Saccharomyces cerevisiae S288C: one gene and its partners. The gene in region 2 interacts genetically with the main gene of each other region. Each region holds a gene or a part of one and is shown on either strand. Other genes may lie near its edges.

Region 1 (4,306 bases), on a different chromosome or scaffold from region 2:
TTTTCGATGTTCGTTTGTTGAGTTAGCTGTAATGCCTTCGGAGTCAGCTGGCTCGCGATGGCGAATACACCGTGCAGTGTACTAGCAAGAATTAAGTATTCATTGCTGTTCAATTTCTGTTCGTCGTTGGTAAAATTCCGCTGATAGATTAGTCCGCCTGATTTGTTTATTACAAGTATTGTTTCGATGGCCATTTCAATTTTTCCCGTTTAAATCCAACACTAAAATTGCACTTTTGAACTTATGCAAAGGCAGATTCCTTTTTTTAGTTTCACTCTTTTTCTTCTCTTCGCACCGCCCAACTCCTGCCGAGGAGGCATAAACTCCAACATATGATGGAAAAATAAAAGAATGTGTAGCATATTATTGAAAGAATCTTCTATAGGCCTAAATGTACATAAATTATAAAACAACATTTTAAAGCAGAACCAGTAGTGGAAATTAAAAAGAAAAATAAAAGCTTGTAAATGCTTCTCTTTACAATATTGATAACTTCCATTTTATGGGAAGAAAAATCTCGTGTACCATTTCCTATTCAGTTTTTCCATTAAAGTGGTGTAGTACTGCATCTCGCCCCAGCAATCTCTGCCAAAATTGCATCCGGCCATATTCACAACAAAATCATGGTCTTTCTCACTGTAAAAGTATCTTGAGTCACCACTGTATTCAGAGCATGCTCCCGGTGGGAATGCATTGATCGTTCTTAAGGGCAAAAATCCTATTCTCGAACGAATCCACGGTTCGTTTTCATATAATGCCTCTAACGCATCTTGTTCTCTATGTTCCCAAACCATATGTTTTTGTTCATACAGAACGGGGTCCCACCACATATCTAGAAGCAGCTTAGACCATTCGCTATTTTTTATCAGAAATGAGCCCAAATTGAAGCCTCCACAATCTTGTGTTATTAGAAACTCCATTTCCTCTGAATAATCGACATAGGGTATGTCGTCTCTTAGGTTTAGGGGATTAAAACTTTTCAATTCTCTGTCAGCCAGAGTTTCCAATCTGTCGAAAATATGTTCTTCTAATGATTTAGAAGGCTCCATTATCATAGTATCCAGGTCCAACCACCAGAACCATTCTGCATTAGGAAACTCCCTGAACGTCTGTCTCAATATATCTACTTTTTGCCAACCCTCTCTGTATTCGTGAGAGTATCTTTTGGACGTTGTCAAATCCTTGATAGTCAACGCATATCCATGTCTCTTCGCATAGGCCTTCTTATTTTCTATTGATATGCCTTCGATAGCCCATTCTTGCTCATTTTTCCACCTCAATACACCACCACCTTCGTTTGCCGCTAATATAATGACAATCCTAGGATCTTGATTCCAAAACGACCATCTTGATCTCTTAGAATATGGTGGTACATATCTTTTGGAGTTGATGCTAGAACCAGTATTACTCAACTTATTATCGTTACTATTTTGGCCTTGAAAACTTGTGGTAGATGGATTTCTGCTTATGGTGGAATCGCTTATCCATATGAATAAAAACAAAGCTAAAGATATTAATAGTATTAGCTTTCTCCATCTCGCTAGCGAACTGCATAAAGTTTTCCTCCAGTATATCATTTTATATTTCAGGCCTAGTTTTGAGCCTCTGCTCTTCTTTTCATCTTCATCGTACTCTAGATGGTTGGATATAGGAAGTTGGGAATTATAAGGTACACTAGACATATTGTATAGTTGTACATGCACAATTATTCCTTATAAAAATAAATAGAGAGCTTTTCTCTCCCTGATAAACCTCCTTTGGCCTTCAATCCAAAAATTCAGGTGCGGAATCAAAGATAACTTTTAAACTTTATATTTAAACAATTTTTTCTGTTTTGTTTGTTATGTAACATCCACTTGAGAAGAGCGAAAAAACAAGAAAATAATCAAAGAGAAATGTCATTATGGACGACTGTAAATAGAGCAGCAATTATGACCTTTGAATGCATGTTTTCCAAGGTTGAAATCTTGCTGATAGTATTTATAAGATTTTTTATTGCCTTATATATAGGATAGCTTGTACTGCTAATGCTAATGAATTTGGGCAGTGATGCGAGAACATAAAATTGCGGAGAACCATATCAAAACGAAAATTCTCCTTTAAATCTTTTCAGGTCCATGCCTGGCTTCACTTCTTGAAGTAAATCATCTCTATTCATCGCTATAAAAACTCTCTTCAAAGTCTCTATAACAGTATCATTGTACGTATTCAAGAGAGATCCAACGTCTCCTTTTTTATTATTAGTGTTCACTTCATGCATACTTAGAACACTTAATAAGTAGCCTGCTGCTTCTTTGAAACAGCCTATATTCATGGATGATACCGCCAGATTATAGCGAGCTCTAACAAAAGAAGGTTTTAGTTGTAGTGCCCTATGATAGGCTTGGATTGCTTCCTCTGATCTATTGGAATTGGCCAATGAAGCCCCTAATCTATTCCACATGAGTTCGTCATTAGGATTCACCCTCAACGCACTTTCAAAGCAATCTATGGTTTTGTCAAAATCATCTTTCGTGTAAAATAAGAGACCCAAGCATAGTTGTATTTCAGGATCTATTGTGCTTAAATTGTTTGCTAGTTGCAAAAATTGCTTTGTGATATGAGCGTTCATATCAATATGGGTAAACCCTTTCTCTTTTTGAAATTTGTCATCTTGTTGCTTGATCCTTGACCAAATTTCCGGGTACTTAGTTTCTGCCCATTTATCCAGCATTGTGAAGGCGCTCATATCATAACCTTCGTTTATATAACTTATCGCTAAAGTTTTCATTGCCTCCAGATTCTTTGGGTCTAACTTTAAACATTCTTCGAGGGCGCTTATGCCGTTCAACTCTTTTTCATTCTGGGTTTGTACTAGACCCAATCTTAGCCATGCATCCACATGGTCCGGTTTTTCTTTAACAGCAGCTTCAAATGCTAGCGCTGCCTCGCTCAATTTGGCTCCGTTTTCCATCAGTAGGCAGCCAATTTTATAAGCATTAGGATTATTAAAATATTCGTTGTTAGATTGAAAAGCATACTCGATGTTCCCATTTACTCTACCGCCGAGATATTTCAAGTAGTCTTCTCCTAGATTGAGGTCATCATTAACTAATTCGGATGGCAAGACTTCTTCAGCGTCCTTGTGTATGCTATCCCACACTTCTTGGAAATCAGATTGATACTGATCTCCATATACTCCTTCTTCCTTCTCAACAGTTTCTGGTTTGTTTTGTTCTACTTCACTCACATTTTCCTCCTTCTCTATTTCATCATTTATGTCCAAGTTTTCTGAGACTTCTTTTTCCAGCTTTTCAAACTGATCTGTCCAGGGTTGTTGTTCTTGCTCATTGACTCCTTCTTTAGAACGACCAGACTGTTGTTGATTCATGAAAGCAGGCGATTGGAGCCTTGATCCACTAAGACTGTTCATAGAAGCATAAGCATAGTTATTCATCATGGTATTAGGGTACTGAAACCGGCTTGATGCGGTTGTTGAGCCACGCTGCCATGCCTTTTCTGAATTTCCTGTATCCGCGTTTCTATTTTGAATACTATTACTACCTTGAAATTCCTGTGACCAATGAGATATATCGTTCACTCCCTTAATTTGGGTTGGGTTTGCTGAAGTCTGTAGAGAATGTACGTTTGAAAAAGGTGGAAGCCTGCCTGAGGATGGCCCTATTTCCATTCTTCTTTTATCATCGATCAGTGGTTCTCCGTTTATGAACCTTTGCATATTCGCCATGTTTTCTTGTGAAATAGCATTAACATTGGATATAAAAGCCTCACTAATACCTGGCTTGTTGGTACCCTGTAGAGGTGACTCATTAAGACGCCCATTATTCTTCTGATTAAACTGAAGCGATTTGTTCTGCTGAGTATGTTTGTGCAACTGCGCAAGCGGATTATTTCCCACTGAGCAACTTCCTACGTCCATGTGTTATGATATATTGTTTATTGATGTATATATATCCAAAAATAGGAACTAAAACTGTTTGGTGAATCAATATTAATCAGAAACCTTTCTTATGCTTAATTTTGTTCATATATATTCTCCGCCGGAAGAGGGTACCGACTTGTCGGAGGAATTCGGAGTTAATCGCGATGATCCGTTTTTACATATTCGAAGCTTACAATCGAGAGAATTACCAACGACAATAGAATTTTTGACAACGAAAAGGTCAATAGGAGCCGAAGAATTAACATACAGGACGGATGGCAAGACCAATCGATGTTAGTCAGCTGATTGCTGGTATAAACAAGAAAAAAGGACTAGATGAAAATACATCAGGTAAAATCAGCAAGCCTAGGTTTTTGAATAAAC
Region 2 (4,318 bases):
GTGAATAAAAAGAATAAGATATTGAAAATTGTAGAAAAATTAAATTTCATTTCTTTGTAATTTGTTAAAGGAGTGGCTTTATTTCTACTCTGTGAAAGAGATCTGTGTTAAAAAATATTAAGGAATGACTGTGGTTAGCTCTACTGAAGAGTTACAATAAAATGTAGTAAGGAATGACTAGAGTTAGCTTAAAACCCGAAAATATAATTCAAAAAATAATAACGCTTGAGGGAGTGGCTTTAGTTGGAATTGAAACAGTATATTCTTTGTTTCAGGCTCGCTGTCTACTTAATGGAAGTCGATATTGCTGGTTTACTTGAAGTTTTTCAATAGACATCGAATAAGCAGAAGAGGAAGAATGAATGAAACATTAGATAAGTTTCCTCTTATATACCGAGTATGAGTTAACGAGTTTCCTGTCATCTTTTGGGAGAACTTTTTACATTAACAGGCAACCAAGACATTGCTGGTTCTTTTATGTTTTGTTTTTCCAATTTAAACGAATGAATTACTGGTTCTTATTTTATTCAAACGATTTTCCAGATAATCTATCCCCTTTCTTCTAAGATATTCCTACAACTATCAAGCATTGTTCACAGTTCTCTTTTTTTTTTTCAGAATACATTATTTACTTTTCGCAAAGTATTTGTTTACATTCGGGCAGAACTGTAAACAGAAAAGAGACCAGCGGAAAGGCCTAAACCCGCAGCGTTGCGAAAATAAGATGATGCTTTTCGTAGAACCCTCTCATGGAAAAGTAGTCATGAACATATGAGCGACTTTAAAACATTGGAAACAGATTAAGAAGTTTTGTTTTCAATTGACTAAAGAAGGATAATTTGTCATCTTACTTAATAAACTACGGGAACGACCATCACGTTTCTTTTATGGATATGGTTGTTTCCGCTGATAAAAGAAGTCACTACGCTGATTGACTGTCAAAGTGTACACAAGCCGTTAAAACGTGGAAACGGCTACTTTCACTCTTTGGTTTGTCATAGTCCTGCTTATTACATTAAACTAATAGTATACACCTATTTTCTATATATGGTAATAGAAAAAAGAAGCATTTCACATAAATCCATTATCATACACCACGTCACCGTCCTTGCTAACACTTACACCAAATTCCAAGTCGTCGTCGGTAGTCATATCCCAAGTCTTGTAAACCATCATTAATGTGAACACATTACAGATGCTTCCAAAAAAGAGGCCATCTAAGTAGTGCTTGAACCCTTCACAAATTTGTGTAGAGAAGGCATAAACCAATACCTGGCCTGCTACAAAGAAAAATAGCCCCAAAAAGATAGCTCCTGTGACCCATAAGTTTCGAACTACCAATAGGGATACCAGTAATTGACAAATAACGAAAACGAATAAGAAAATGGCGTTTATTATGTAAACGACGACAATCATCCCTGAAGCGTTCATTGTTGCTACTTTATGGTCGGTGATCCATGCTTTGAAGGTTAAAATAGAGGCTAAAAAATTGGCTATGAATCCTAGCATGGACGTTCCACGGACCAACAGCATGGACTTTGTAGTCCCATCTTCCCATAAATTGAAACCTAAAAACCCGATTATCAATAAGGCCCAGCAACATGCACCCGCCAGTCCTATTTGTATAGCCACGAAGTATGGATATGACCCAGAGCCGGGGGGAGATACACCACAGTCTACCACCAAGGTAAATATTATCAATAGCAATGTTAGTTGGAAAAAGTAGAGATATTCAGACCTGCCAATAGCAGTATACTTCTGTCTTATGTTATAAAGTATGATTAAAATGACACCTAGAGCACCAATATTTATGAATGCGTTCCCGACATCAAAGATGACTGTATTGGCAAGATCAATCGACCGAGCATAACAGCGTGGCAGTACACCGACATTCAAATTTAAAGGATCAAAATCATGTATAATTGTTGAGTTCGAAAGTATTAGATGGGTTTTAGACTTTATTACCGAACATAATGGCAACGGGGTCTTTGAGCATATGGCAGCAAAATCACTAAATGCCATATTATATATATATCAGCTTTTGTATTAACAAAACCACAATTTTTGATAATAGTTTTGATGAAATAAACTTTCCACGTGGAGACAGCTTTGAAAAAACAGTTCAAAGTATGCCAGTGTAGCTTTGACTTTTTTTAATCTTTTTAGTTAAGTTATGCAATATGCTATTTTTATACCAAAATGGATCCTTTTTGATTTCGTGTCTTGTGAAACTTTTTCAATATTTAACCGTTTTAAGAAAGCGAAGCGGGCAACACCAGAAGAATGTCAATAACTTACTGTAACAACATAAAACATGGCATTTTAAATAGTACTGCCAAAATTTAATGCAATGGCAATTAGTTGGCTATGTTGCTACATATTATTTTCCATAGCATTCTCTGTCACAAACTTCAAAATAAAAGACAGTGACATCCGAACATCCGATACACCCATACATCATGAAAATAAATCCTGACATTGGAAGAAGTCTTGATACAAAAAAAGATCGCTGTCAAAAATGCGGCCAGACTGCCGCTGCATCGTACCAACAGTGCGTATGTTCAGACGGAGAGACGACCTCTAGAGAGACGTCCGTCGGTGCGGCAACGCTGACGGTTTAGTTGTTCGACGGGATGATGGGTTCCGCCAGGGGGAGGGAAGGCTTTCCACCAAGAGAGGTAAAATTATTCGTCGAAATGAACTCAGAGATACATCCATATTGTTGACAATGTATATCTTAATTGATGTGGTATTTTCACTGTTTTAACGTAAATTGAAGGAGATTAAGCAAAAAAACAATCAGTAATAATGGGTATGTGGACGATTAGGAATAGACAAACCATGTTATTTATCTCCATTAGGGCGTGAGAGTGTAATTAGTACACAGGTACTACTAGAATGCTAAAGAACTTTTTAAAATATCCTGAATCGTAGGGCAAATCCATGTCAAGCAAGAAACTAATAGTTATTAAACTTCATTTACTTTTGAGCTAGTTAAATATTTTCATCATTTCCTAAAGTACTGAACACCTGAATGATACTTTTATTGGCCCTTTTAATAAGAACTCTGGTTAGAAAATATATTGAGGATATCATTAGTAATACTCATTAGATATTTGTGAATTTAGCCGTTTCCCCATTACAGAAAAAAGATACAACTAATTACATGTGCAGTCAAATTACTTTTTTTTTAAGATCAATTACTAACAATCAACTATCATGCTAAATTTGCTGTGATATCATTTTGAACCAGTTAACGTCCCAAAGACCAGAAAGACCTACTGTAAGGGTAAGACCTGTCGTAAGCACACTCAACACAAGGTTACTCAATACAAAGCTGGTAAGGCTTCCTTGTTCGCTCAAGGTAAGAGACGTTATGACCGTAAACAATCTGGTTTCGGTGGTCAAACCAAGCCTGTTTTCCACAAGAAAGCTAAGACTACCAAGAAGGTTGTTTTGAGATTGGAATGTGTCAAATGTAAGACTAGAGCCCAATTAACCTTGAAGAGATGTAAGCACTTCGAATTGGGTGGTGAAAAGAAGCAAAAGGGTCAAGCTTTGCAATTCTGAGAGTTGTTATTGTTTATTGTTTTATTATATTTTTATAGTTATACTTTGACCATTAACTTTTTGTAAATTTTGCATACTTAACTCTTTAATATTGAAAACCTGCCTATTTGGCGTAATTTTTCATCCTGCCTTTGAACCTGTTGTAAACGTTCGCGTTGGCAACCATGATAAGTTAACAAGACACGTAGGCGTTCGCACTAAAACACAGCATTGCTACTAAAGTACGTTACTAAGAACCAGTAAAAATAAATATGTATAAATAAAATGTAGATACAGCTGATTCCCAATATCTCATTTCAGAAATGATCAACACCAGGCGCCCAGCAACGTTCAATCTATCTACGCTTCAGTACTACTAAAAGTGGGAAAAACGTGGGCTTTTAGTCATTCCCTGCAATTTTAAGAAAACTGCATATACTAGTAGTACATTCGCGATATAATTATGATGTTGGCCTTTTTAAAACAAAAACCAAAAGGAATTTGATTATAACAAAACTAAAGAGGTGTGGAAAATTAATACAAACCTTCGACTTTTTATAGTGCGGTTCCTACACTTTTTTTTTTTCCCGCTTACCCTGGTGATTGATTTTTTGGGTTCCGTTGTAGGGCTAGCACGAAAATAAGAATTAAGTAGCAAAATTTGAGATTTGCTCACTTTACATACAAAGAGCTTAAATAGTAGTATACTAGTAGTAATGCTAATTCTTATCACCTTTCTTTGCCGACTTCTTGATGTATTTTGGCGGAA
Region 3 (6,302 bases), on a different chromosome or scaffold from region 2:
CTTCTACCCTCATGGTTTTCATGAGCATCCTCTTTCTCCTCCTCCTGGCTCGATGAGATCTCATTACTGCCGTCCATGGCATTGAGGAGCGAAGACGATGGCGACTCTATTATGGAGAACCTGCCCGTTGCGGTATGTTTATATTTCTTTGGCGTCGTGAGATCCATGTTTGTGAATGATGGTGATTCGTCATATTCAAAGTTATCTAAATCTGTGGGCTTCCTCTTCCTTGGAGTTTCATTTTTCTTGTCAAAATTTTGCACCTTGGTACTTTCGCCCGCCTGCCTATCTTCGTCATCATCTTCATCGTCATCTGTGCTGCCCATGTGATCATCATCCTCATCATCTTCATCTGCACCATCTTCACGATAATCGTCGTCGTTGTCATCGTCATCTTCATCATCGCTATTATTCTTCGTAACATCGCTCTGACAATTTTGTCCTTTATTATCGCTATTATCATCGTTTATCCCGCAATCATCCTCATAGTATTCTTCCACCATGAAATTTTCATCTTTCAGCAAAACATTACGCTTACTCTTATTCCCCATCTCCCTATCTTCATCACCATCAAAAAATCCTTCCTCTTCATCCTCGTCATCGTAGCCTAGGTTGACACTCATTATAGAGTCGATTTCTCTAATAAAGGGTGCCAACTCCCTAGTATTGTTTTCGGTCATCCACGGTATCTTCATTAGTGAGACATCTTCTTGATTCTTGATGAAGTTAATATCTTTCTCCTTATCGTCCTCTTGCTTCTCACCGTGTGTTTTATCAAAAACCTGCCAACTGCTAGTTACCATGCAACATTTTTCTAGCGCATTTACAAACTTCTCCAATTCATTGATCTTGTAATATTTGAAAGGATCATAACACAATTCGCATATCCGAAGTATTGTGAATGGAAATGTATGATTTTGTAAAAAATTATCATTCAGAAACTTACCCAGCCAATTTAATCTAGTAACGAGATTTCTCGCATCGTTCATTTCATTCTTAAGGTTTATAAATAGGTCAAACGGTATTGTTTCAGTGATATGCCGGATTAAATCAGGCAAAACTTGCTCGGGACCCGCCGTCACCAATCGCGTCTTGTCGCCCTGTTTCACCACATCGCTAAGTAATTCATAAAGGCTGATAGACTTGATACCCATCATATTATTATCCACATCATCCAACATCGTCGAGCTCATAGCTTTTTATTGTGCTTTGACAATCGATGAGAACACCAACAAAAAATGATAATAGGTATTGTTAGCTGTGTCAAAATACATGCTTTTGATCGCGAAATGAAAAACTACACAATCATTACCCGTCGGCGCTTCGGAGGGGGATTAGATTTCTCCTATAATCAAAATCTTCAACTATTACAAACCCCTTTTCAGAAGCACATTGAAAACAACACACAACAGAGCACTTTGTGATAGGCAATAGAGTGCTTTTAAATAGAGAATTACTGGTTCTCGCGAAATAATATAGCGCGTTGAAACTAATAAATAGATTCGTGAAGCTCTAGATCTATCTTTTTTCCTGTTTTTATCTGTGTGTTTTCAATAGGATTCGAACGATATAGGCCATGGCATCTATTACTTTTAGAACTCCATTATCCTCTCAGGAACAAGCCTTTTATAATCAGAAATTTCACCAATTGGATACGGAAGATCTCGGGGTGGTCACTGGCGAGGCAGTCAGACCGCTCTTCGCGTCTTCTGGTCTTCCAGGGCAATTACTATCGCAAGTGTGGGCTACCGTCGATATAGACAATAAAGGGTTTTTGAACTTGAACGAGTTTTCGGCTGCTTTGAGAATGATCGCTCAATTGCAAAATGCTCCCAACCAACCAATTTCCGCTGCCCTATATGAGAGCACACCTACTCAACTGGCTTCTTTTTCTATAAATCAGAACCCAGCCCCTATGCAAAGCGGTAGTGCAACCGGCAATACAAACAACACTGATATTCCTGCCTTATCCTCAAATGATATTGCTAAATTTTCACAACTGTTTGATAGGACAGCAAAGGGTGCTCAAACTGTTGCTGGTGATAAAGCCAAGGATATATTTTTAAAGGCAAGATTACCAAATCAAACTTTAGGTGAAATTTGGGCTCTTTGTGATAGAGACGCATCCGGTGTCTTAGACAAATCTGAGTTTATAATGGCCATGTATTTGATCCAACTATGTATGTCTCATCATCCTAGTATGAACACACCACCGGCCGTGTTGCCTACTCAGCTGTGGGATTCTATTCGTTTAGAACCTGTTGTTGTTAATCAACCAAACAGGACTACTCCTTTGAGTGCTAACTCCACTGGCGTATCTTCACTAACAAGACACTCTACTATATCACGTCTATCTACTGGTGCATTCAGTAATGCTGCTTCAGATTGGTCTTTAAGTTTTGAAAAAAAACAACAGTTTGATGCAATTTTTGATTCATTAGATAAGCAACATGCTGGTTCGCTAAGCTCTGCTGTGTTGGTTCCATTCTTCTTATCCTCTAGATTAAACCAAGAGACGTTAGCCACCATCTGGGACTTAGCTGACATCCACAACAATGCTGAATTCACCAAATTGGAATTTGCTATTGCCATGTTCTTAATTCAAAAAAAGAATGCTGGTGTCGAATTACCGGATGTTATCCCCAATGAATTATTACAGTCCCCCGCTTTAGGACTTTATCCGCCAAACCCACTTCCTCAACAACAAAGTGCACCTCAAATTGCCATCCCCTCAAGAGCAAGTAAGCCTTCTTTACAGGATATGCCACACCAAGTTTCTGCCCCAGCAGTTAATACTCAACCAACAGTTCCACAAGTTCTTCCTCAAAACTCAAATAACGGTTCTTTGAATGATTTACTGGCTTTGAACCCTTCATTCAGCTCTCCTTCTCCCACTAAAGCACAAACTGTGGTTCAAAACAACACAAATAATAGTTTTTCATATGATAATAACAATGGCCAAGCAACATTACAACAACAACAGCCACAGCAGCCTCCACCTTTAACTCACTCCTCCTCTGGATTGAAGAAATTTACTCCCACCTCAAACTTCGGTCAAAGTATAATCAAGGAAGAACCAGAGGAACAAGAGCAACTAAGGGAATCCAGTGATACTTTTAGCGCTCAGCCTCCGCCAGTTCCAAAACATGCTTCAAGTCCAGTCAAACGTACAGCTTCAACAACACTGCCACAAGTTCCCAACTTTTCTGTGTTTAGCATGCCAGCAGGCGCTGCCACTAGCGCTGCCACTGGTGCTGCTGTAGGCGCCGCAGTGGGTGCTGCTGCTTTAGGCGCATCCGCTTTTTCAAGATCTTCCAATAATGCATTCAAGAACCAGGATTTATTTGCAGATGGTGAAGCTTCTGCTCAGTTATCTAATGCTACCACAGAAATGGCTAATTTATCTAACCAAGTAAACTCCCTGTCCAAGCAGGCAAGTATAACTAATGACAAAAAGTCAAGAGCGACCCAGGAGTTGAAACGTGTTACTGAGATGAAAAATTCCATTCAAATCAAATTGAACAATTTACGTTCTACCCATGACCAAAATGTTAAACAAACGGAACAACTGGAAGCACAAGTACTTCAAGTAAACAAAGAAAACGAAACATTAGCGCAACAGTTGGCTGTATCCGAAGCAAACTACCATGCCGCTGAGTCCAAACTCAATGAACTAACTACTGATTTGCAAGAATCTCAAACAAAGAACGCAGAATTAAAAGAACAAATTACGAATTTGAACTCGATGACAGCCTCCTTACAGTCACAATTAAATGAAAAACAACAACAGGTCAAGCAAGAAAGGTCAATGGTAGATGTTAATTCAAAACAGCTAGAGTTGAATCAAGTCACAGTAGCAAACTTGCAGAAGGAAATCGATGGTCTTGGCGAAAAGATAAGCGTTTACTTAACTAAACAAAAGGAGTTAAATGACTACCAAAAGACCGTGGAGGAGCAACACGCACAATTACAAGCTAAATACCAGGATCTGTCCAACAAGGATACTGATTTAACGGACCGTGAAAAACAATTGGAAGAACGTAACAGACAAATTGAAGAACAAGAAAATCTCTACCATCAGCACGTTTCTAAATTGCAAGAAATGTTCGACGATCTATCACAGAGAAAAGCTTCTTTTGAAAAAGCTGATCAAGAGTTAAAGGAGAGAAACATCGAATACGCTAACAATGTGAGAGAGTTATCCGAAAGACAAATGAATTTAGCTATGGGACAATTACCTGAGGATGCTAAGGACATTATTGCGAAAAGCGCCTCTAATACAGATACAACAACCAAAGAAGCCACATCAAGAGGAAATGTTCACGAAGACACTGTATCCAAATTTGTCGAAACTACTGTTGAGAATTCAAACTTGAATGTTAATCGGGTTAAAGACGATGAAGAAAAGACAGAAAGAACCGAAAGTGACGTATTTGATAGAGACGTTCCAACTTTGGGATCTCAAAGCGATAGTGAAAATGCCAATACAAACAACGGCACCCAGTCAGGAAATGAGACAGCAAATCCAAACTTAACTGAAACATTAAGTGATAGGTTTGATGGTGATTTGAATGAATATGGTATTCCAAGAAGTCAATCCTTGACATCGTCTGTTGCAAACAATGCTCCTCAATCCGTAAGAGATGATGTTGAGCTACCGGAAACGTTGGAAGAACGTGACACCATCAATAATACTGCGAATAGAGATAATACTGGAAACTTATCTCACATTCCTGGTGAATGGGAAGCTACCCCAGCTACCGCTTCTACTGATGTTTTGAGCAACGAAACTACAGAAGTTATTGAAGACGGAAGTACCACAAAAAGGGCTAATTCAAATGAAGACGGTGAGTCGGTCAGTTCTATCCAAGAATCTCCAAAAATCTCTGCTCAACCAAAAGCAAAGACAATAAATGAAGAGTTTCCACCAATTCAGGAATTGCATATTGACGAAAGCGATTCATCCTCTTCAGACGATGATGAGTTTGAAGATACCAGAGAAATTCCATCAGCAACAGTGAAGACCCTTCAAACTCCCTATAATGCCCAGCCCACATCAAGTTTGGAAATCCACACGGAACAAGTCATAAAATATCCCGCTCCAGGCACTTCTCCTTCACATAATGAAGGTAACTCAAAAAAGGCAAGCACCAATTCCATTTTGCCTGTTAAGGACGAATTTGATGATGAATTCGCAGGGTTAGAACAAGCGGCTGTGGAGGAAGATAATGGTGCTGATTCGGAATCTGAATTTGAGAATGTTGCGAATGCTGGGTCGATGGAGCAATTTGAAACCATAGACCATAAGGATCTCGATGACGAACTACAAATGAACGCTTTTACAGGGACGTTAACTAGTTCCTCTAACCCAACTATCCCAAAACCACAAGTACAACAACAGTCAACCAGTGACCCTGCTCAAGTAAGCAACGATGAGTGGGACGAGATTTTTGCTGGATTTGGTAACTCCAAAGCTGAACCAACCAAAGTAGCTACCCCAAGCATTCCACAACAACCAATTCCATTGAAGAATGATCCTATCGTTGATGCTAGCTTGTCAAAAGGTCCAATAGTTAACCGCGGGGTTGCAACTACTCCAAAGTCTCTAGCCGTCGAGGAGTTAAGTGGCATGGGATTTACTGAAGAAGAAGCGCACAATGCCTTGGAAAAGTGCAACTGGGATCTAGAAGCCGCCACTAACTTTTTGTTGGATAGTGCTTAGTCTGTAATGGACCATTTCGTCTTCTTTTTGTACTTCTTCCTCGAAGCTGAATCATATTTACCCTTTTCCAGGATCGTCCTTGTATATTGTGAATTATTCTAAAAGTAGAATATGTTGTACTTTAAAATTGTTATAGTTATCATCATCTATTTTTCCATTTTATAAAATTTTTACGTTAGACAGTTATGTATTGAAACTGCTTCATAAGTTTTGAAAATCATCCCAGTTTGGTAAATACACTAACCAAAAAAAAAAAAAGCTCTACCACATAATCTTTGGGCGTATTACAACATGGGAAACACGACATTATTGAAAATACAAAAAAAGTAAAGTAAGACTCGTTCAGGGCATAAGTCAATGGCCCTGTAAGAAAAAACAAAGTAGCTAGGCTCATAAGAGATTATCTGTTTAATTTTCTTTGAATAAAAAAAAGTATAAATCGATAAGATAAAATACCACAATGAAAAAATAAAGGCTACTTGAAAACAACTGGACCAAACCAAAACCCAATTAACCCAGACCAGTAATGAAACACGAATAGAAATATACCCAATCAAAATAGAAGGAAGAAAGACCAGAT
Region 4 (6,094 bases), on a different chromosome or scaffold from region 2:
AGATGGTCAAGTTGTGCCTCAAGAAGTGTTAAACTTACCGCTTGAAAAATACCATGAAGAGGCAGATGACTACCTAGACCATTTACTAGATAGCTTAGAAGAACTGAGTGAGGCTCATCCGGATTGTATACCTGATGTAGAGCTAAGCCATGGCGTAATGACATTGGAAATTCCAGCTTTTGGAACGTATGTAATAAACAAACAGCCTCCAAATAAGCAAATTTGGTTGGCATCACCATTGTCCGGGCCTAACAGATTTGACCTTCTCAATGGGGAGTGGGTTTCGTTAAGAAATGGCACAAAGCTAACAGATATACTTACTGAAGAAGTTGAGAAGGCCATTTCTAAAAGCCAATAAGTGCACTTATCCATCGACTCTCTTATATTTATTTAAACACTTGTAACGCATCCAATCTATTTCATAGTTAGAGTCTCTCTTCCTTGTTATTGATATGATTTTTCTTTTGTACCGTGTGTGTATGTATGTATGTATGAACGTACTACTAAGCTTCAACGTCACTCTATAAAGAAACTAAAAAGACACGTATTTATACCTTTTTTGAAGAATGCGAGATTGCAATGAAATATGTGTCTATTTTTTACATGAATCTTTTGACCAACTCCTCATATATACCCCACGCAATACCTGCACTGAAGGCCTTTCTTGCCAGCCTCATGCTTAACCCGCTAAATAACTTCAGCACATTTTCATTTTTAACTATAGATGTAAATGTATTGAAGGAGTTGGTAAATTTTGATGGTTCCAATTGCATTCTCGTTTTTATGGTGTCGAACGGTGCCGTTACTGTGGTGGCTAAACTGGCGGATAGTACGGCGCTTGTTGTATTTACTGTTGTAGAGGTATAAGTAGTAAATCCTCCCTCAGGATTGTAATGTATAAACCTAGAAGGTAATACCATGGGCAGTAATTGTTTCGATTTTTCATATAGCAGCACATACAAACCTGCATAGGGAGCGTCTCTTAAACAAGTAGCTCCAAACCCTCTGAAAAATCCAAAAAGTCCTTCCTTAGTATATATATGGGTAATTGCCTCCTTTAAACTGGAGTAATTGTACAGAGTAGACTCATAACGGACTTTAATGACGGTGATAGGCATGGTTATATAACCTACCAAACCTCTTGCAAATGCACCTGTTAGTAAATTTTCATACATCGTTAATCGTGGTAAGCTACTGCTCTTGTTATATACAATGTTTGAATCGTTTGTTAATGAAGGCACAGCATTCCTCCTCTTTGCCAAAGATGAGCGCATAAGGTTCAAACATGATAAATATAAGGCGCTGCCTATTGATGTTCGTAATGCTGAAGGTAATGTACCTCTCCATAGCTGTAGAGGGCTGTCTATCTCTTTCAAATTTTTCCATAATGTAGCTTTCTTGTCTTGCTGGATTCTCGTCTTCAAAAGGTCTAAAGGTTGCAACGCAACAGCAGATGTTAGCCCACCGAAAAAGCCCCCGATCAAATGCGATGAATTTCTTGGCTTAGTTGCTTGCTCAGTCATGTATGCTGCTTCACAAATTGTGTACCTTCTAGTTGTTCCCGCTGTGCTATTTGCTTTTCTTTTGGTATAAGCTTATCCTTTTACTTCAATCACCCCCTCGTGAGAATTTAATGTGGAAGCAATATACTACTACACCGTTGACTTGGAGATTTTCAAGCTCAATTTTGCGTTCACTCAAATCTAAGTCATTTGAAACAAACACAACTTCTAAATATAGCAAGAGAAATAGGTCAATAACGCAGACACATATTTAACATTTAAGATACTGATAGATATTCAAAAGGAAACAGTCACCACAAGCGTTGGAGATTCAGCAAAACCCAAAAAGCAAGAAATTACAAAATCATTGTCTCGCTGATGAAACACCATCCTTTAGTGTTTGTATCCATTCAGCGTACCCTCTTGTTCTTGAGACTGGTGAATTTCGTAACTAGTTGAATATTGCAGGGTTTTCTTTTTCTAAATATGTATTAATGGTGGTGCCTGTCAGGGCGCGATAGAAGTGAAAAATTCTCGAATGGCTGGTTTGGTGGCCATTGAGCTGATCTGAAAAGGATGGTGAGATCAAGCTTGATATCTTGCATGCTTGGACCAACTATTTAAAATAAGTATTGAAAAAGGAGAATTTAGTTTCATTTACTCTCTACAATTGGATATTATACAGTTAAAACAAGAGAAAAGGCCAAAATTAACGGGACTCTGTTTGCATAACATATCTATAATATCAGTTTGATCTACTGCTGTTAAACTAATTTTTCTTTCTTCTGATTTCACTTCGTCCTTAATATTTTAACACATTAACTGTTTGCTATAAGCATACATTGCTTTTACCACTTTTTTTAATAATATCTTTTTATCCGTATTAATTACCGCATATAATTTTAGTTCGAAACATTAAAGGTCAGTCCCGAAGTTATAATTATAACATTTAATTCCTGAATTTACCGTATTACATTTAAATTTGCATAATGGCCACTAACTTAACATCTTTGAAGCCACCATTTAAGGTGAAGGCCAGGTATGGTTGGTCGGGCCAAACTAAAGGCGACTTAGGCTTTCTGGAGGGAGATATTATGGAAGTCACAAGGATTGCCGGTTCTTGGTTCTACGGCAAGTTATTGAGAAACAAAAAATGTTCTGGGTATTTTCCTCATAACTTCGTCATACTATTAGAGGAGAGATTAAATTCGAGCACTGAAAATGGTAGGCAACCTTCAAAAATAGTAGAAAGTTTTGAAAAATCAAATAAAGTTGTTATTCCACCAGTACCATCAAGGTATTCTGACGAGAGGCCAAGGCCTAAAAAGAAGCTATCTTCATCAATGCCCAATTCACCCAAGAAGCCGGTAGATTCTTTGACAAAGGCTAGAAAGGCAAAATCAAAAGAAATGGTAAATGAAAAAAATATCTATAATACCCAATCCTCTCGACATCATAATAACTCAGCTCCAAATTTACCTTTGGCTAGCCATAGTAAGCCTCAAGTACGAAATTTCGAGGAGTCCATGAACAATCCGTTACCACCTCTACCGCCACTACCAGATTTGGACAATATGAGAAAGACAGATAAAAGGGCACCAAAGAAATCATATTCTGCAAACGATTTACATATGGCACGTTCTTCAAGAGAATATAACTATTACAAAGACAACCAGAAATTCTATGATGGGTTTATCCCAGAAAAGAGATATTCTTTAGAAGAGGACTCTATTTCATCAGGCCTGTTTTCAAACTCTCAGTACTTAAATGATTCTGCTTGTAGTAGTGAGAACAGTTTTGCCTTAATGAGTGATTTTAGTGCCACGAGCGCGGGAAGTTTCGCCAGACATAAATATGCACAATCGTTTTCCGATTCATTGCAAAGATCACAGAATGCAAATGGCTGCTCTACAAAGATAAATGATTCACAGGAGTTTGGTGATTCCAATGCTAGTTCGAGAAATGGAAAAATGGGTGATATCCTTAGGAAAATAATTATTCCAAAGAGGAATACAAATATTTACTCCAGTTCAGTATCCTCACCAAAGTCACCAAAAGCATATCCTAAACTACCAGATATTCAGAATTTAAACTTGTCTGCAACACCCGATGAAGCTCGCGATTGGATTGCGGTAAAATGTCACTTGAACAGAGCAAGGACTCTTACCAAATATGACAAACATCCGAGGTATATGAGAGCTCTCGAAGAAAATCGCGACTTGATCTTACATCCTCAAGATTCGATTTATAACGGGCTAAATACCAATGAAGTCAAAGGTAATACAAAGCCCGGTTTGGTCGATGTGGAACTGGCCGAATTAAACATAGAATACATTGATAAGATGACTTGGAAACGGTGTATTAGAGACGGAACTATGACATTAGACAGTTGGGCTCAAACAACTTTTTCAGCAAGATACTCAACTGTTCTGGAAAAGTTAAGAGGCATATACATTTTTTGCACAGAGATGTTTGCTCTGACTGATGATAATGGAACGTCAGATTTTTCTGCGGAACCCCAAAATTTAGAGAAAATACTATACAGAAAGCATTGTACGCCATATGAATTGACATGGCTTTTCAAGAAATTAGCAAACTCATTGGGAATCACTTGTGAAATTGTTATAGGTTTCCTGAAAACACCGAGTGCTATAAATTGGGAGTTTAAGTATAACCACTGCTGGTTGAGAATACTGGTTAACAAAGAATGGAGATTTATTGACGTTATTTTAGGAAATGTAACCAACCCAATTCATGAATTTGTAAATAACAGAAAGATCAAGAAAGCAGAAAATAGCTACTTTTTGATGGCACCATTAGAAATGATATACACACATATACCGCCTAGGGAATTTGAGCAGCATATTGTTCCTAGTATCGATCAATTATCTGCATTGTATCTGCCATTAGTTTTTCCATCTTTTTTCAAAAATGAGTTAAAGTTATACAAATTTAGTACTGCACTATCATTTTTGGAAGATTCTGAGATCTACGAATGCTCCTTAGAAATTCCCAATGACGTTGAAGTCTTTGCATCCGTGGTTATTCCAACGGATAATGAAGAAGCTTCATCTGCGTACAGGAATATGGAACTCGCACTGACCCAAATCAAAAAGCAGAAAGCCGAGTCTGGTAGAAGAATTGCTCTAATCAAAGCAGTCCTACCACCCAATGTGAACAAAGGTTCACTGTACATACATTCAGGTGTAAGAGGTACGCAAACGAGTATTGCCAATATCCATCCACTGTCCATGATGGTCCCATTAACACATAAGGGAAGTAACATGAAATACGAATTTGTGATCAAGATACCCTCAGAAAGCATTCAGAAGATTGAGCTATACATTGTCGAGCCACAGAGTAGATATCTATTTGTTGGTAATGAGTACTCATTCGAAGTTATTCAAAGTCCCTCCGATGGTATTGTATACAGCAGTGATGAAGGGCCGAACCAAAATAGGAAACAACCAATGGCAATAAAATCACCCTCAGGAAGAGTTCATGAGCTAGTCAAGAGCGATCCCCACTTTCCTTATGGTACCTGGAAAGGAAGCATTAAAATCAAAGAGCCCGGCGTCTGGAGCGCTTTAGTGATCGCTGACTCTGGTATTGGGTGGTCCGTTTTTGCTGAATGGTTGTGCGTATAAACGTTTTTCACAAATTTTTTTACAGCGCTATAATCTGTATCATTCAACATACATTCTACTCAGGAAGGTGAATTTCATAACTCATATATGGCTATATAGTACTTATTATTTAATGATTTATCCATTGCATTCATAAAAGCTATGCTGGTCCAACTTTTTCGTATTTAGTGATGTTTTCGGTGAAGAAAATATGAAAAATTAGACCAAATGCTCAAATACATACGACATTTGAATTGTTTAGGCAAGTCCGAAAACGAGGTATATCAGCTAATTCAACCTGAAAACCAATTGAGTGCTACTTCGAAGTAAAATACATAGCCATTTCAAATGGAATTATCCCCTACTTATCAAACAGAACGCTTCACAAAGTTCTCAGACACTTTAAAGGAATTCAAAATTGAACAAAATAATGAGCAAAACCCCATTGACCCGTTTAACATCATAAGAGAGTTTCGCTCAGCCGCGGGGCAGCTTGCGTTAGATTTGGCTAATTCTGGAGATGAAAGTAACGTCATATCTTCTAAGGATTGGGAACTGGAAGCTAGATTTTGGCATTTAGTAGAACTGTTACTGGTTTTCAGGAACGCTGATCTTGATCTAGATGAAATGGAACTTCATCCTTATAACTCGAGGGGTTTATTTGAAAAGAAATTAATGCAAGACAACAAACAACTTTATCAAATATGGATAGTGATGGTTTGGCTCAAAGAAAATACATATGTGATGGAAAGACCCAAAAATGTACCAACTTCAAAATGGTTAAATAGTATTACTTCTGGAGGATTGAAAAGCTGTGACTTGGATTTTCCTTTACGAGAAAACACTAATGTCCTCGATGTTAAAGATAAAGAAGAAGATCATATTTTCTTCAAATACATTTACGAACTAATTTTGGCCGGTGCGATTGATGAAGCATTAGAAGAAGCTAAACTTTCCGACAATATT

The links.
Region 1: mutations in CHS7 (region 2) and MNN10 together harm fitness more than expected from each alone (negative genetic interaction), as found in Saccharomyces cerevisiae (4 studies listed by BioGRID, with this or other methods).
Region 3: mutations in CHS7 (region 2) and EDE1 impair growth when combined (synthetic growth defect), as found in Saccharomyces cerevisiae (4 studies listed by BioGRID, with this or other methods).
Region 4: mutations in CHS7 (region 2) and CYK3 together harm fitness more than expected from each alone (negative genetic interaction), as found in Saccharomyces cerevisiae (5 studies listed by BioGRID, with this or other methods).

The regions. Positions count from the first base shown.
Region 1 is NC_001136.10:950,176-954,481, reverse strand, and holds MNN10 (alpha-1,6-mannosyltransferase), read right to left. Parts: upstream 1,683-4,306; coding exon 501-1,682; downstream 1-500. Other genes in the region: TRAPP subunit TRS23, read right to left, coding at 1-194; PEX5 (Pex5p), read right to left, coding at 2,081-3,919; mRNA splicing protein PRP28, read left to right, coding at 4,198-4,306. UniProt on the Saccharomyces cerevisiae protein: Required for polarized growth and efficient budding. The M-Pol II complex possesses alpha-1,6-mannosyltransferase activity and is probably involved in the elongation of the mannan backbone of N-linked glycans on cell wall and periplasmic proteins.
Region 2 is NC_001140.6:381,242-385,559, reverse strand, and holds CHS7 (Chs7p), read right to left. Parts: upstream 2,023-4,318; coding exon 1,072-2,022; downstream 1-1,071. Other genes in the region: DSE2 (Dse2p), read right to left, coding at 1-50; 60S ribosomal protein eL42 RPL42B, read left to right, coding at 2,809-2,812, 3,254-3,570; YHR140W (uncharacterized protein), read right to left, coding at 4,269-4,318. UniProt on the Saccharomyces cerevisiae protein: Chaperone required for the export of the chitin synthase CHS3 from the endoplasmic reticulum.
Region 3 is NC_001134.8:127,315-133,616, reverse strand, and holds EDE1 (Ede1p), read left to right. Parts: upstream 1-1,576; coding exon 1,577-5,722; downstream 5,723-6,302. Other genes in the region: PSY4 (Psy4p), read right to left, coding at 1-1,193; RRT1 (Rrt1p), read right to left, coding at 6,007-6,302. UniProt on the Saccharomyces cerevisiae protein: Functions at the internalization step of the clathrin-mediated endocytosis (CME) as an early-acting scaffold protein. Requires clathrin adapter proteins, ENT1/2 and YAP1801/2, for normal spatiotemporal dynamics and viability.
Region 4 is NC_001136.10:246,090-252,183, forward strand, and holds CYK3 (Cyk3p), read left to right. Parts: upstream 1-2,491; coding exon 2,492-5,149; downstream 5,150-6,094. Other genes in the region: YFH1 (ferroxidase), read left to right, coding at 1-358; HEM25 (Hem25p), read right to left, coding at 600-1,523; NUP84 (Nup84p), read left to right, coding at 5,477-6,094. UniProt on the Saccharomyces cerevisiae protein: Involved in cytokinesis by recruiting INN1 to the bud neck. Cooperates with INN1 to stimulate the synthesis of the primary septum (PS) by CHS2.